2 linked regions of the Xenopus tropicalis genome follow. The protein of the gene in region 2 binds, or shares a complex with, the protein of the main gene of each other region. Links are inferred from orthologs where the notes say so. Each region holds a gene or a part of one and is shown on either strand. Other genes may lie near its edges.

Region 1 (8,243 bases), on a different chromosome or scaffold from region 2:
TGACTTCCCCATCTACACATATACATAAATACAAACACATGGACCAAAGCTCTCTATAGGGATCCAGAAAGAGATGGGCAAACACACTAGAGAAACACACACCACAAGACACAACTCTGTCTTAAAGGAGAAGGAAAGGCTAAGTCACTCGGGGTGCCAAAATGTTAGGCACCCCCAAGTGACTGGTGCCTCTGGTAGGAGAAAACAGCACCAGCCCGGGGTACCTGCAGCAAGTGCTTCCTTCTTCCTTCTGTGTCAAAATCCCAGGGCCGGTGCATGCGCAGTAGAGTGAAAAGCCGACTTTTTTGTTAAAGTTCCACTATTCACTCTACTGCGCATGCGCAAGTGCTCGAACAAGGATGAGGAGACAAAGCTCGCAGCTACCCCAGGTTTGCCGTGCCTTGTGCATACTTTTTCTAGACTCTAAGAAGGTTTACTCTCTACCCTATTTGTGAGAGTAAACAGAGACACATTTTGGTGTCTGTGTATAAATAGTAAGACATTCGGATTTGGCTTAAAGACATAAAGAGAATCAAAAGTACAGAAGAGGAATAACTAACAACTTCCATTGTCCACTGATAAGTTTATGAGGTTCACAACAATAGCTGGAGGATTGCAACACTGCACACACCAACATTAGGACAAATAAAATTACAGCAAAGAAAAACTTCTACACACATACATAATTGTTGTCTCTACTTTTTGGGCTTGCTCCAGCTCTTCTTCAGGGTCCTTGAAACCAGTAAATGAGTAATATGTCTTGTCCCATTTTATGGGCCTATCAAATGCTGCTTTTGTTCCCTTGTGAGGTTTTGACTCCATACCTACTTCTGCAGTATTCACATGTGCAGTAGATAAGCTGCATGAATTCAGAATATCCAGAACTGTACTTAGCAAGTCCCTTGTATCCAAAGTAAAATGTACGGTTCGAAACCCTATCAAGAAAAGCAAGTAAGAAAATGTTATAAATGCGAGAGGGTTAAAACTTCATTATAGAGTAAAAAAGAATCCATAACCTCACTTCGAAATCAATATGATAACCTAAAAATGCTAAAGTTATAGTCATTTTTAAGTGTGACTTTCATTTATTCTGTTGACATGTATTATTTCATGATTCATTGCGAGAACAAGCTACTAATGGCAGCAGACCCCCCTAGATCCCAGTTCTGTACCTACCAAACCCCCAGTTCTTACATCTAGCACTGAAAAGCATTGGATACATGGAAACTGTAATCTCCAACAATCTGCAATATTCAACAACATGTGCTGATCTTACAGGGTTACTTTTTTCTCTCTGACAGTGTCTTCCCTGAATTAGAGTTCAGTATAGCAACTACTCTTCAAGATTATGCCATATAGATTTAAAAAGTAAACTCACCACTCTATATGAGGGCCCAGGTAACACTTGTGCCTATGATTAAGTTAGATACAGCACAAAACGAGTAAGGCAACAAATATTTCCATGTTTCAACAGGAAATTCTTTCATTTGACAAACCTGTATTTGAGTCATCGCCTTTGAGTGCCTGCTAAGATGTTTATTTAGGAAAGGAGTGAACCACAATTTAGTTGGTAAAGGGGAACTATTACATTTAAAAAATATTAAAATAATGTCCATAATGCTGAAAGAAAATTATGATGTGAGTTATTAATGACTGTATATAAAGTTACATCTGGTTTTAGTAGCGCAGCCCAATGCATTAGTCATCCAACAGGATTTTCCAGCCAGTCCTATTGAGATCTGGCAGTAAGTTATCAAGGAAACACTGGGAGGGACGGTTTAGGTTAATGTCAGTCCAGATTTGACAGCTTTCGGCAGCTGTGTCTTTTAAAGAAAAATATATTGGAACCAAAAGGTACGGAATTGTGTCCAAATATTTTAAATTGTGGGCAAACATGCATAATTCTTGCCTAAAACTACAGATCACTGTGAATATGCAGGGGAATCACACTGTGCACATGCTGATGCACTGCTAATTCTGCGGAGAAAAGTTGCAGCTTCTGACAATTCTGCAGGCGTGACATTAGTCTTAATTCTCATTATCATTTTTCATATGGATAAATGCTCTGCTTTTATTCTGTGGTTGTGCAGAGATTTATTTTGAATGTAATGACACTTACCTGTGGTTCGAATTGTGTCTGAATCATTTATGGTGTTTGTTTCTCGTACATAAAATGTAAGCTGAGCTGGTTTGTGAGATTTCTGACCGGGTTTCTGAAGATTTTCTAAGTAGCCATTTAATCTTTTCAGTGAGTTTTCGTTTACTTCCTATAATGAGGCAAGCAGTACAGCTTTGATGAGAATAAAAAGTGTCAGGAGTTAAAGGGATACTAACACCTTTTATAGCATTCTCCCTAACAACCAATATCCTGGGTATGGCACTTTTTGCCTTAATTGCTTGAATATCATGGCTGCTGCACCCTTTTTCAGCCATGGTAGTCAGGCTGTTGCTGCTGCACATAGCGCTTCCTAGGACAAAAGGCATAGTTTTTGGAAAGTGTCAAAATTCCTTTAACATAACATGTGAATGCTGTTCATTAAAAGAAAAGTAACACTAAAATTTTTTAAGTAAAAAAGCTATTACATGACAGTACTATACCAAACTCCTAGACAAGCTTGCAGAGACACATATTGAAAAATGAAACCTCACACGGTGCTGCAGTGGTGCAACAACTTCGATAGCCAGATGCTTTATTTTGAGCCTTAAAGGAAAAGTAACACTACATTTTTTAAGTAAAAAAGCTTTTCTACCCTGCACCAATAATTGCCCTATCCTGCAAACCACTTAGTATTTTAAATGCTTTAATAGAAAATACCTGCTTAAAGTTGACTTCCTGTCAATTGAACTACAGCGATACGGCAAAGGAAGGAGCAGCAACCATTATGCAATCGATTGATCGAGCCTAGCCTGACTCCTTCCTATACAGAAAGAAGGCTAGACTCGATCAATCGATTGTCGCATAGTGATGCAGCTCCTTCCTTCGCCGTATCGCCGTAGTTCAATTGACAGGAAGTCAAGTTTTCGCAGGTATTTTCTATTAAAGCATTTAAAATACTAAGTGGTTTGCAGGATAGGGCAGTTATTGGTGCAGGGTAGAAAAGCTTTTTTACTTAAAAAATGTAGTGTTACTTTTCCTTTAAGGCTCCAAATAAAGCATCTGGCTATCGAAGTTGTTGCACCACTGCAGCACCGTGTGAGGTTTCATTTTTCAATATGTGTCTCTGCAAGCTTGTCTAGGAGTTTGGTATAGTACTGCCATGTATCTTAAAAGGAGAAGGAAAGGTAAAAACTAAGTAAGCTTTATCAGAAAGGTCTATGTAAATATAGCCATAAGCACTCACAGAAACGCTGCACTGAGTTCTCTATCAAAAAACGAAACACAGGATTTCTTGTCTCTTTTTTTGTAAACATAATGTTCAAGTGTCTGACTTCCTCTCTCAGAAACACCTTAATTCCCAGTGCCAGAGTCTGCCCAGTTCTCTCTTCTCTCCTGCTCCCCCCTCCCATCAGAATGCTAAGAACTCCCTCCCCCCTCCCTTAGGAATGTGTGATCTCAGCTATAACGGCTAGAATGCAGGCAGGAAGCTACCTAAAATGACAGCTGCTATCTTAAGCAAAAGGAGAAAGCTTCTAAAGCTGTTTACTCAGGTATGGTAATGGTTTCTGCAGAATAAATATATTGTTCTAGGTGGCACTAATGTGGCAAATCTATTGGCAGTAAAATGCCAAAATGACTTTCCTTCTCCTTTTCATTTAAGCTCTCTTAGGTTGGTGCAGCACTCAGAATTGTTCATTACATTTCATGTGAAATAGCAAACACTGAGAGATGAGGGCGACTGTAGTTATATTGCTGAAGTGACACTGACACTGTTGCAATGACCAAATACAAAATGTTTGATTTAAAGATGTTTATGCAAACTTAGAAAACATTTGTCTTATGAATGATATAGAAAGATACAAAGTAAATGAAAATACAAAATGTAAAAGGAAAATATATTTAATTAGTGCTAAATATCAAAATGCTTACTCTTTCCACTGGATGTTGACCAAAAAAATCTGGGTGGACAGCAAAATAAAATGGCCTTAGAGCTGTGGCTGCATCTGCGCCCGAGAGTGGCCTGGCTTGAAAAACAAATTTCTGTAATAGAGACCCCCATGGAAGTCTGAAAGGGGAAAAAGAAAAGTAGTAAATTTACCATGTGCCAAATAAAATGATGTAATAACAGGCAAATTAATGACTCCAATATGTATTTCACTGCCTTTCCTAAATTGAGACTAAGGTATACTGAAGGCCCTGGTTCTTGCTCTTAGGGGTAATTTACATGAAGCACGTGATGTTTCCTTCCATGTGGAAGACATGTCCCTCCTGAACTAGATGTAACATCAGCCAAATCACAAATTGTGTACGCAAAATGCTGAAAGAACCAATTTCAAGAGACTACAATATTGGACTGGCAAGTTGATTGAAATTCACATTATCATTGTCTTCAGTGTACAGCTAGTAATATCCATGTGCCATCGAAAAAGTGTGCAGTACAATTGTGCCTCTTTTAGGATATAGATTAAACATTTTAAGAGGACTCAAGCTGCATGAGAAGCACACCACTGGCCAAACGTGTCCAGGACCGGATTTCCAGGGGCCCATCCTCAGTTGCTCCCTGCCCCTCCCACAGGACCATGTACTCCTACATGTGGAGCACGGGGGGCAGGGCGCATGGAGATCTCCAGCGCACATAGTCCCCAGGCCCTGCATATGTAAAGTTCAGGAGCAGCTGTGCAGTGTGCTGCCCCTTAATTTGTGCCTCCCTAGGCCCAGGCCTTTGTGGTCTTGCCACATATCTGGACCTGAATGTGTCAGTGAAGAGTAATGTACAGAATTAGTCGTATCTCTAATTATTAAGCATGGTAACTGCACTAAAAAAGGTTTTAAACCCGTTTGTTTCAAAGGACAGTAAATTGGGTAAACTTACCTCTTTGTGGCTCTGCAGCAGCCAAACATGACAAATTTGTTGGGGAGACCAACATGCAGAAATCAAATGAGTACCTTCAGGCACAACCAATGGAGAGAAATAACTGTGTTAATGAGAGGTAAACAAAGGGTACATTTTAAAGCATTACAGTAACTGGAATTTGAATTCCTGAAAAGATATTGGAAGTAGAAGGACATTTAGAGACTTACTTGTGGGAATACGTTTGAGCCCAAGCCTTTTATCCAATGCCTTTTTTTGATCATGAGTGCCACAGTAAAATAGGTATGGGTTTTCCTAAAATAAATAAATAAATTTGATAATCAACTACTTAATGCCAAGGGATTGCATTTTCAGACAACATAATCAGTGTATCTGATGTAAATTGAGAGAGGTAACTGTTGATTTGCAGGAAATTTACACTATATATTTATATATGTCATAGTCCTAAATACATGTTACTCACAGATTGATCTAAATTAAAGATGGTAGTCCTACCATACATTTTTAAAGGAGAAGGAAAGGCTAATAAAGAGTTAATCTCAAGCTGCGGGCATACCTTCAGTTCTCTCAATAGCGCCCTTAAGTCTCCCCATATTTCTCCTGTTCACATTATCAGAAGGCAAACAGAAAGAAAAACACTGAGCTGTGCAAAGAAAGTTCCCATAATGCCTCACTCCTGAACCGAGACCGAGACCAAGTGAACTTGCTCAGTTAGTAAGACTAAGGGGCACATTTACTAATCCACGAATCCAAATCACGAATGGGAAAAAATCGTATTGGAAACGAAAATTTCGTAAGATCGCAAATATCACGAAAATGCTTACGAAAAAATCGTATTAGTCACGATAATATCGTATTGGCGATCTGAAAGTCACGAAATTCTCGTACCGAACAATTGTAAACAGCGGTAAAACCTTTCCGATTTTTTCGTGCAAACGTCCGAAAAAGTCGTACAGCGTACGAAAAAGTCGTGCGCCGTACAAAAAAGTCGTGCACACGCCCAAAAAAATCAGTGAAAATACGCTTGGAGCGTTCGCATAAACGCTTGTGCGTTCGTGCTTTTGTAAATGTGCCCCTATGAGTCAGCTTCCTGCTGATTGGCTCAGATCCACATTCCTAAGGGGGGGGGGTGAGTTCTTAGCATTCTTGAGGGAGGGGGGAGCAGAGAGCTGTGTGTCTGTGGCACATGAATTACAGACACAACAAATCTTTTGACAGAGAACTCATGCAGCGTTTCTGTGAGTGCTTATGGCTGTATTTACATAGACCTTTCTGATAAAGCTTAATGAGTTTTTACCTTTCTTTCTCCTTTAACAGTAACCCTCACTTGCAACTGGTGTGTGTTGTCAGCAGTCCTACTTCAATATTGACCCATATTTCTGGTCCTCCACCCCAAATCTTTATGTAACAAAAATCTTACAGAAGTGGGAAAGTTGTGTACAAGATATGATGTACCTCTTACTCCATAATATACATATACAGTACATATATGTTAATACTTAAAAACAGTGTGTAGATTATTAAAACAAAAAGTGTGATGTGAAAAACACATTCTGTCCCAAGATGCAACTATCATTAGTATCAAAAGAGTTGCATGCAATTTTTCATAGGCCCAAAGGTTCTATGTACAGGGCCGGATTTGAAAACCAGAGGCCACCCCCCGGTCGCATGCCCCCCCCCGCCCTGAGTTACATAGTTACATAGTTACATAGGGTTGAAAAAAGACCAGTGTCCATCAAGTTCAACCCATCCAAGTAAACCCAGCACACCTAACCCACACCTACCAATCTATACACTCACATACATAAACTATATATACAACCACTAGTACTAACTGTAGATATTAGTATCACAATAGCCTTGGATATTCTGATTGATCAAGAGCTCATCCAGGCCCCTCTTAAAGGCATTAACAGAGTCTTCCATTACCACATCACTAGGAAGGGCATTCCCCAACCTCACTGCCCTCACTGTGAAAAACCACCTACGCTGCTTCAAATGGAAGCTCCGTTCCTCTAATCTAAAGGGGTGGCCTCTGGTGCGTTGATTGTTTTTATGGGAAAAAAGAACATCCCCCAACTGCCTATAATCCCCTCTAATGTACTTGTACAGAGTAATCATGTCCCCTCGCAAGCGCCTCTTTTCCAGAGAAAACAACCCCAACCTCGACAGTCTCACCTCATAGCTTAAATCTTCCATCCCCTTAACCAGTTTAGTTGCACGTCTCTGCACTCTCTCCAGCTCATTAATATCCTTCTTAAGGACTGGAGCCCAAAACTGCACTGCATACTCAAGGTGAGGCCTTACCAGGGACCTATAAAGGGGCAAAATTATGTTCTCATCCCTTGAGTCAATGCCCTTTTTTATACAAGACAGCACTTTATTTGCTTTAGTAGCCACAGAATGACACTGCCTGGAATTAGACAACTTGTTATCAACAAAAACCCCTAGATCCTTCTCCATTAAGGATACCCCCAACACACTACCATTCAGTAGATAGTTTGCGTTTATATTATTCCTACCAAAGTGCATAACTTTGCACTTATCAACATTGAACCTCATTTTCCAGTTTGCTGCCCAGTTATCTAATTTTGTCAAATCGCTCTGCAAAGCGGCAGCATCCTGCATGGAACTTATAGTTTTGCAAAATTTTGTGTCATCAGCAAAAATAGAAACAGTACTCTCTATGCCCACCTCCAGGTCATTAATAAACAAGTTAAAAAGCAAAGGCCCAAGGACTGACCCCTGCGGTACTCCACTAACCACACTGGCCCAATTAGAAAATGTTCCATTTACAACCACTCTTTGTACTCTATCCTTCAGCCAGTTCTCTATCCAATTACAAATATTATGTTCTAGGCCAATATTCCTTAATTTGATCATTAACCTTCTGTGAGGTACTGTATCAAACGCTTTAGCAAAGTCCAAGTAGATGACATCAACTGCCATTCCAGCATCGAGGTTCCTACTCACCTCCTCATAAAAGGCGACTAAATTAGTCTGGCAAGATCTGTTACGCATAAAACCATGCTGGCACAAACTAATAGTATTGTGAACTGCAATGTATTCAAGTACCCTATCCCTTATTACCCCTTCCAAAAGTTTTCCTACTACTGATGTCAGACTAACAGGCCTATAGTTTTCAGGCTGAGAACGGGATCCCTTTTTAAATAACGGCACCACATTAGCAATCCGCCAGTCTCTCGGCACCATGCCAGACCTCAATGAATCCTGAAAAATTAAGTGAAGAGGTTTGGCAATCACAGCGCTCAG
Region 2 (7,715 bases):
CATTGTGTTCCGATCTTTAAAAAAAAATTATGGAATTTTGTTTTTTAGTGAAGGATTATTATCGTTTGGGGTGAATCCAAAAAATAGTTTTTGGCATCTTACTAACAGATTTATTTTGTGTACATATTGAGGGTTTTAGTTGTTGGTTACTATGAGCAGGCAGGATGAAGGCACTGACCTATAGTGAGCTCTGGTGCATGCTGCCTGCCCACAGCAGCACTCACGGCCAATAAGCAGTCAGAAGGATACACGCCTCACCTTCACTCAGTCACCACCCCATCTATCCACTCACATGCATAAACCCATACTGACCTATCTATACACTCACATACAGACCCATACTGACCTATCTATCCCCTCACATACAGACCCATACTGACCTATCTATCCACTCACATACAGACCCATACTGACCCATCTATCCACTCACATACAGACCCATACTGACCTATCTATCCACTCCCATACAGACCCATACTGACCTATCTATCCACTCCCATACAGACCCATACTGACCTATCTATTCACTCACATACAGACCCATACTGACCTATCTATCCACTCCCATACAGACCCACACTGACCTATCTATACACTCACATACAGACCCATACTGACTTATGTTGCTTACAAATAAGTTTCTTATGATGTTATGCTATAACTGCCCCCGTGGGCCTGGAATGACAAAATCGAGTCTAGGAGGAATTTGTCTCCATTTGACTATGGGAGGGTTTAGTCCACAAGCAGGAAATGGTTCAACAGATCCTAGTTGGATGTCGGTAAGTATCACAGTCACTTCATAAAGAGCTAAACCTTTGCATACAGGCACAGACATGGGATAACTGCACGTGTAATGTTTATCTGCCATTGAATTTCATGCACCCCCCCGCCTTCTTGTCATTTATATTAATGGAAGCCACTTGTCACTGGCTGTTTGTAAGGGGCCTGTGTTATCTGGTGCGTCTCTGTTGGCTAAAATACAGAGAAATTCTCCCTGTGCTATAAGCCTTAAATAAGGCTTCTGTGCAGGTCCTGCAGGAGCAGCATCTCAATTTCCTGATGCAGGAGGAGTCTTCTGGCGCTTCCCTGCTCAGTCATGCCATGTGACGCTTCCTGCATCAGAATCCTAAACTTCTGTCATTCTGTCCAGCTGGAACAGCAGGGGGTGCTCCTGTAACGCATTCATGATATCAACAGTGTAAAAACTGTGTGAAATCTAAGAAAAAGGTGAAGAGTATATTAAGTTAAATCTTGGGTATTTGTCCCTTTTTAGTACAATTCTCAAGCTCTGCAGTTATTTGTTAATCTGTTATGGCCTATGTACTATCATGTATTTATGGGATAGGGTTGAGGTTTTCCCACTACTCCCCTCATTGCCATCGCTAAGTTTGTTATAAGGATATAGATGTGTGGCCATTAACCTTGCATGTAGATCCAGCAATATCCAGTAAATTAGTGTCTACATTCCAGTTCCATGTCAGTAATACTATAATGCTCCTGTGCCTATGAGTCAGGGCATATACACTGTCCACTACTTTATTTTGTATTTTTTTTTTTAGTAGCAGAAGGTCCTTGGATACTTTATAGGAAGTTTTCTGTGTATTTGTTTGGCTGCTTATACACTTGAAGTATTAATTGCCTCTATTTAAGATGTTCTTTGTGCCTATGAAGCAAAGCGGGCCATCGGAAAGGCACTTTCGTGTGTCCTGGCACCGAGAATGTGGGAATGTCATGTGCATTGACACACAATTATGGCAGAATTATGGCTTGCACCTTGTACTGCCCCCTGGTTGTGCTGCAGATTTATTTAAAGTTTCCTCTCTGTTTCCCCCACATGCTGCACTCTTTGTCCTTCTCCCCATGCCCCCATGCTCCTCCTGTCTTCCCATTCCCACCCAGACCTGCAAGCATTCATGGACCGGCTGCGTGTTCTCACTGTGGGAGGTATGAACTATGTCCTTTCATAACAATCACGGCCCAAACCCACGGGCTGCAGTCGCATTTATTACAGGAACAGCGGGGCATGCTGGGGGTGGCACATATGGGAGATGCCTTTTAGCAAAGGCTACATGTTGCTTAGAACTGACTTGTGTGATCATTAAGCTTGCCTGTTAGCCGCCATGTATGGTTTGTGCTTCATGCAGTGAGAGTGAAGACTAGAGGCCTGGCTTCATTTATTCATTCACTGGCCTGTTTTTATTGCACCTCACATAGCAATGCATACATGGCAGAATGTGTCTAGTTAAGCTAGCTATTTGGCCTTCTGCTTTTAATCCCCATTGGTATACTCATGATGCAGGCAGTAATGCATAGGGGTGTAGCTTTGTATGAGTTGCTCTATTGCTTCCTGTAAAGTAAATGATACCGGCAGGCACTGACCCAAACAAGCATCATAAGGGAAGTATTAGTTATTACAGAAGCATATTAGGTACAAATAATAGCCATACACGTTTCAAGCTGCACAGATCTGCTTTTCGCCTGTTTATAAAGCCAAAAAATCCCCCACACCCTGTCCTCTTGCTCAATACCATCCTGTGATTGTAGAACATGGCTCTAGTAAGGCAGCCTGCCCTGATACAAACCAGAATGTTGCCAGCTTTAGGCAAGTATAAATGCCCTGAGCAAGTGGGTGCAGGGAATGTGACTGAAGGTCGTACTGTGGCCAAACACCAGAATATCAGTCCCAGGCAAGACTGTAATGGAGTTGGCACCGTGCCTGCATAGTGCAGAGAGTCCAGGCACATATCTCTCTTCCTGGGAAGTTATCAGGGAGCATGAAGGTGAAAGGTACAGAGTGCAAAGTTTATGCAGAATGCCATGTACCCCTGTCTTGTTTGGGCACAACCAGGCATAGTGCCCTCTATACAGAGGCTTTGCTGTGCAGTATACTTCTGCTCTCAACACAATACATTGGCTCATTACACTAGGGGAGGGGGGGGCCAATGGAAGGAACCTAAATAAATGACAGCCTAGCGTGCTCAGGAATTCAGTTTGACATTGGCAGTGAGACTCTGTGCCTGGTTACTCACATTCATGAGGATTCACCTAGAAGTCTTTAGAGGTTGTTTAAGTGCTATATGATGAGCCCTGGCTCTCTGGGGTGCGGGGGCTGCTTGAGTACTCCTGTGTGAAGCTGCTAGATCCTGTAGTTGAGGAGGGCACAGGGACCACACAACTTCTGCAAGTAGAACATGCAGCCATTAAACACAACCTGTTGTGCTGACTTATACACCTACCTGTGAGTGGGTGTGGGCCGACCCCAAAAACTCCAGTGTTGGCCTAGCTGTTTGGGATAAACTATTGGTTATGTAAGGTGATTATGAACTAATGTATATTTAGCTGTCCAGTTTTTTTTTTCTATTTGCTGCTCTCTTCTGTCTCACCTCCCTCACTCTGCCAAACTCATACACTAAATATACTTGGCACTGAAACCTCACCCAATGTAATACTTTACATTTGTACATTCTCCTTTTTCCAAAAATATAACCTGACAATGCTCTTCACATCCATACATATATATATATATATATATATATATATATTAGTGTGTGTGTGTGCAATATATATATTTGAGATAGCTGTCTCCTCCTTAACTCATTTCTGTACAATCCAACGCATTCCACTTGTCTGCCATGCTTCACTTTGTTGGTGCCCTTGTTCTGCAATATGGCTGTGCTTGCTTGCTGCATCCTTTTCTTCCTGTAACATTACCTGCATCTGTCTCTCTGACCGTCATGCACCTTAGGCTTTTATGGGCTGCAGGAATCTGACCTGGATAAAGTCTTCCATCTCCCAACCACTACATTCATCGGCGGCAATGAAATGGCTCTGCCCCTGAGAGAGATCATTCGAAGGCTGGAGGTGAGAGGACAGAGTTCTACATAAAAGCATAATATGTGTAGTCCAGAAAGTAGAAGGGCTATGACGCATGTGTAGAGAAATTCCATAGTGGAAAACCGCTGCTGCTGCGTTTTTCAGCATTGACAAGACTTGCATCTGCCTGAAAAGACTTGAGCAAGGGGCAGTAGTGGCACGGACAGACTGCACATGTGACATGCACTTAATGCACCATTGTCTGTGTCTGCACTGATTAATCATGGCTTCCTTCTACTGCCCTCCTCTCACAGACTGCATACTGCCAGCACATCGGAGTCGAATTCATGTTTATAAATGATCTGGAGCAGTGTCAGTGGATAAGGCAGAAGTTTGAGACCCCAGGAATCATGCAGTTTAACAATGAAGAGAAAAGGACCCTGCTTGCCAGGCTGGTTAGATCTACTCGGTAAGTGTGCTGAACAGCTTGGCTTTGTCCCATCAGTTACGAATCAATGACTCCTGTGAGCTTACACTTGGGCATAATCTCTCTCCTGCAAAGGTTTGAAGAGTTTCTCCATCGCAAGTGGTCGTCTGAGAAGCGCTTTGGTTTGGAGGGGTGCGAGGGCTTGATCCCTGCTCTGAAAACCATCATTGATAAATCTAGTGAGAATGGGGTGGATTATGTCATCATGGGGATGCCCCACAGGTATGTTCTACGTGTGTGTGTGTGTGTACTTTTGGAACCTTCTAGTTCTGCTAACTCAGTGTTGCCCCTGCAGTGGATCCCAGGCCTGGGCTTGGAGTCAAAATGGGCCCTGGCATTTCAAGTATATAGTGGCACAAACCGCCCCCCACCAGCCCAATAAATGGTAACTGTTTGTGGCATCTTACAGCAGCCCCTCTGGCATTTGCCCAACACACAAATTGCCAGTCTGGGCCTGGTGTGGATCCCTGTATATAAAGCTTTAATGAAAAACAGCCATTGTTCTGAGCCCTTTCAGCCTGTTGCACTCTTTCTCTACCATTTTCCTAGAAATAATGCACAGGCCAAATGACTATAACCACAAACATCTGACAGATCAGTTGTCCCAACATAACATGCCTTGGTTAAACTCACTGTTCCTTCCCCGCAGTCATGTGGGCTTTGCTTTAGTAACACTTTCCATGTGTCTGGCAGGGGCCGACTAAACGTACTGGCCAATGTGATTAGGAAAGAGTTGGAGCAGATTTTCTGTCAGTTTGATTCCAAACTGGAAGCTGCAGATGAGGTGAGTGACTCCCCAGTACTTATAGACAGGGGAGAACCAGTGCCAAATTGAGGGGTGGAAAACCTGGCGATGCTGGGTAAATGGCTTACATGATGAAAAGACAGGGACCCCCATCAACTGGTCAAAAAAGCAATTGCCTAAACTCGACAGTCCATCGTAATGAAAAGTTACTGGACCCGAAAGCAACATAAAATAATGTTGGTTATAATTATGTGTAAGTGCCCCTCTGGGCCACTATTTTTTTCTGGTTTTATCTATAGTTTGCGCACCTACTATGAAAAGGAACGGCCCCACCGAGGTAGTAAATAGGTACCCCATCCTTTTCATATTATTCAGGATTGCACCAGAGTGAGCTCCGTGGATAGTTAAGTGCCAGTAAATCCTCAAAAGTGAATTTTTAGGTCCTCATTATTTGGCTTCCAAGTGCTCATTCCATTGCTTGTGGGAATAAAGGATACAGGGCGCCTCTCTCACTGCTCTGTTCTTTGCAGGGCTCCGGAGATGTTAAATACCACCTGGGAATGTATCACAGGAGGATAAACAGAGTGACTGACAGGAACATCACCTTGTCCTTGGTGGCCAACCCCTCCCATCTGGAGGCAGCAGATCCTGTGGTCCAGGGAAAGACGAAAGCTGAGCAGTTCTACTGTGGGGACACGGAGGGCAAAAAGGTGGCCAGAAGATGACTTGTGGCATGAACAAAGCTGTTTGTTTAAATATGACTCTTTAAATAACACGTCTGTCTGTGTCCACAGGTGATGTCCATCCTGTTGCATGGTGATGCTGCATTCGCAGGACAGGGCATTGTGTATGAGACCTTCCACCTTAGTGACCTTCCCTCCTACACTACACATGGCACTGTGCATGTGGTGGTGAACAATCAGGTATGGCATTTAGTGTGTTCTGGGCAGGGTATTCGGCATAACAGGGTTATTGGCAAATAACATGGATTCAGCTGCCATTCCTGTTGTCTGAGCTGGACAGTGGCTGGGGTGTGCAGGTTTAATAGTAGTGAGAAATTCTGTGTCCTTCCATTGTATAAAGAACAGTGCTTACATTCTGTACATTCCTCGCATTGCTTCTTTACAGCGCTGTTTAATAATAACACCTAAATCACACCTCATTGCTTGACTGTGATTAAACCTTCCCCTCCAGATTGGTTTCACCACTGACCCTCGAATGGCCCGCTCCTCTCCCTACCCAACGGATGTGGCCAGAGTGGTGAATGCCCCCATCTTCCATGTCAACGCAGATGACCCCGAAGCTGTGATGTACGTGTGTAATGTGGCTGCAGAGTGGCGAAGCACCTTCCACAAGGATGTCGTGGTGGATCTGGTATGGGCTACCATTGTAACTGCTACAGGAACACTTCCCAAAACTTAGATTTATGCTTTATGGTCGCGTGCTAATGATGCACTTCAAGTCGATGTGAGCAGGGCCCTGACTACACTTTAGGTGACACCAGTGTGCCTACAGTTACTGTATCACTAACGCCACCAAATGGAAATGCACCATATGAACTCATTCTACCATTTATTTTGAGTCCAGAGTTTGGTATTTAACTGTTATATGGTTGCTAACTGCCTGGTTGCAAGGGTAAATAAAAGACTGGAAGATAGGTGAAGGATTAAATGAATAGGAAGATTAAATAATAAGTAGTAGTAATGGAATTGTAGCTGCACAGAGCAATAGTTTTTCTCACACAGTAGCTGTGTTTTGTCAGCTGGGGTCAGTCACCTGATAGTGGCACTCGTCTCTTTGCGCCATTAGGTGTGTTACCGTAGGAACGGTCACAATGAGATGGATGAGCCCATGTTCACCCAGCCGCTGATGTACAAACAGATTCGGAAGCAGAAGACTGTACTGCAGAAGTACGCAGAGACCCTAATCTCTCAGGGAGTGGTCAACCAGCCGGAGTATGAGGTAAGTACCCAACGTAGGTTCCATTTGGTTTCAAGGCATTGGGTGTAGAATGGCATAGTCATATGGTCTCTCCATCTACAGGAAGAAATTTCAAAATATGACAAAATTTGTGAGGAGGCTTTTGCCCGATCTAAAGATGAAAAGATCCTTCATATCAAGCACTGGCTGGACTCCCCCTGGCCCGGTATGTGTCTGTTTCCTGTACATTTTGCCAATGGCAATACAATAGCCAAGGGATCATTCTGTATCACTTGCTTAGTGGAGCCTTAAGCTTCGTGGGGATTGGGGGTCCCACCTGGGGTCCAAACAAAACTTCACTGGCTTCTTTCTGATTTTAGGCCTTAGCACCCATAGCCATTTTCATAAAAGCAAGGAAAGTGAGTGGGTAAAAACATGTAATTGCGCTACAACTAATTACTCACATTAATTTTTCTGTGTTGCCATTTCATACATCGAGGCTTGAAATTATTGAGCTGGCAAAACAGGGAAGTTTAATGCAGTGGAGCTTCCCTGCATTCAGTGACAAACAATACAACGTTTAGGGAATGAACCCCTTTTCATCAGGTCTAAAGGCCTTCCAACAGGTTAACGTAATACCCAAAACTTTGCATATCACACATTATTGGTTACCACCTACACTCCTGCTGCATACAGGTGCATTGATTGCACTGCAGTATATTGCTTGTGCATACTGAAGTCGCAGGTAGA

Evidence for each region.
Region 1: the proteins of ogdh (region 2) and tcaim are in contact, whole or in part, in a cryo-EM structure (PDB 8I0K), measured with the Homo sapiens proteins. The link is inferred for Xenopus tropicalis from reciprocal best matches to the Homo sapiens genes OGDH and TCAIM. Residues at the interface, in NP_001425937.1 of Homo sapiens: Gly301, Tyr304, Arg323, Tyr354, Arg356, Ile358, Arg364, Asn365, Lys387, Glu391, Tyr394, Cys395, Gly396, Thr398, Glu399, Lys401, Lys402, Lys561, Met602, Pro605, Glu667, Gly668, Ile669, Asn709, Met734, Ala735, Ser736, Pro737, Asn738, Gln772; in NP_001269842.1 of Homo sapiens: Glu214, Gln234, Arg235, Ser236, Trp237, Gly238, His241, Ser244, His247, Ser248, Arg251, Gln255, Asp272, Arg273, Thr286, Met287, Asp288, Val289, His290, His291, Glu331, Leu332, Gln333, Pro334, Val335, Arg375, Tyr376, Glu441, Ser443, His473.

Annotation. Positions count from the first base shown.
Region 1 is NC_030682.2:50,388,157-50,396,399, forward strand, and holds the start of tcaim (T-cell activation inhibitor, mitochondrial), read right to left. Parts: upstream 5,266-8,243; 5' UTR 5,180-5,265; intron 5,074-5,179; exon of another isoform or gene 5,045-5,073; 5' UTR 5,000-5,044; coding exon 4,971-4,999; intron 4,164-4,970; coding exon 4,028-4,163; intron 2,268-4,027; coding exon 2,120-2,267; intron 936-2,119; coding exon 683-935; intron 1-682. UniProt on the Homo sapiens protein: May regulate T-cell apoptosis.
Region 2 is NC_030679.2:126,361,939-126,369,653, reverse strand, and holds part of ogdh (2-oxoglutarate dehydrogenase, mitochondrial), read left to right. Parts: intron 1-3,745; coding exon 3,746-3,861; intron 3,862-4,127; coding exon 4,128-4,282; intron 4,283-4,375; coding exon 4,376-4,522; intron 4,523-4,993; coding exon 4,994-5,084; intron 5,085-5,575; coding exon 5,576-5,755; intron 5,756-5,839; coding exon 5,840-5,968; intron 5,969-6,239; coding exon 6,240-6,419; intron 6,420-6,854; coding exon 6,855-7,007; intron 7,008-7,088; coding exon 7,089-7,191; intron 7,192-7,715. UniProt on the Homo sapiens protein: 2-oxoglutarate dehydrogenase (E1o) component of the 2-oxoglutarate dehydrogenase complex (OGDHC). Participates in the first step, rate limiting for the overall conversion of 2-oxoglutarate to succinyl-CoA and CO(2) catalyzed by the whole OGDHC.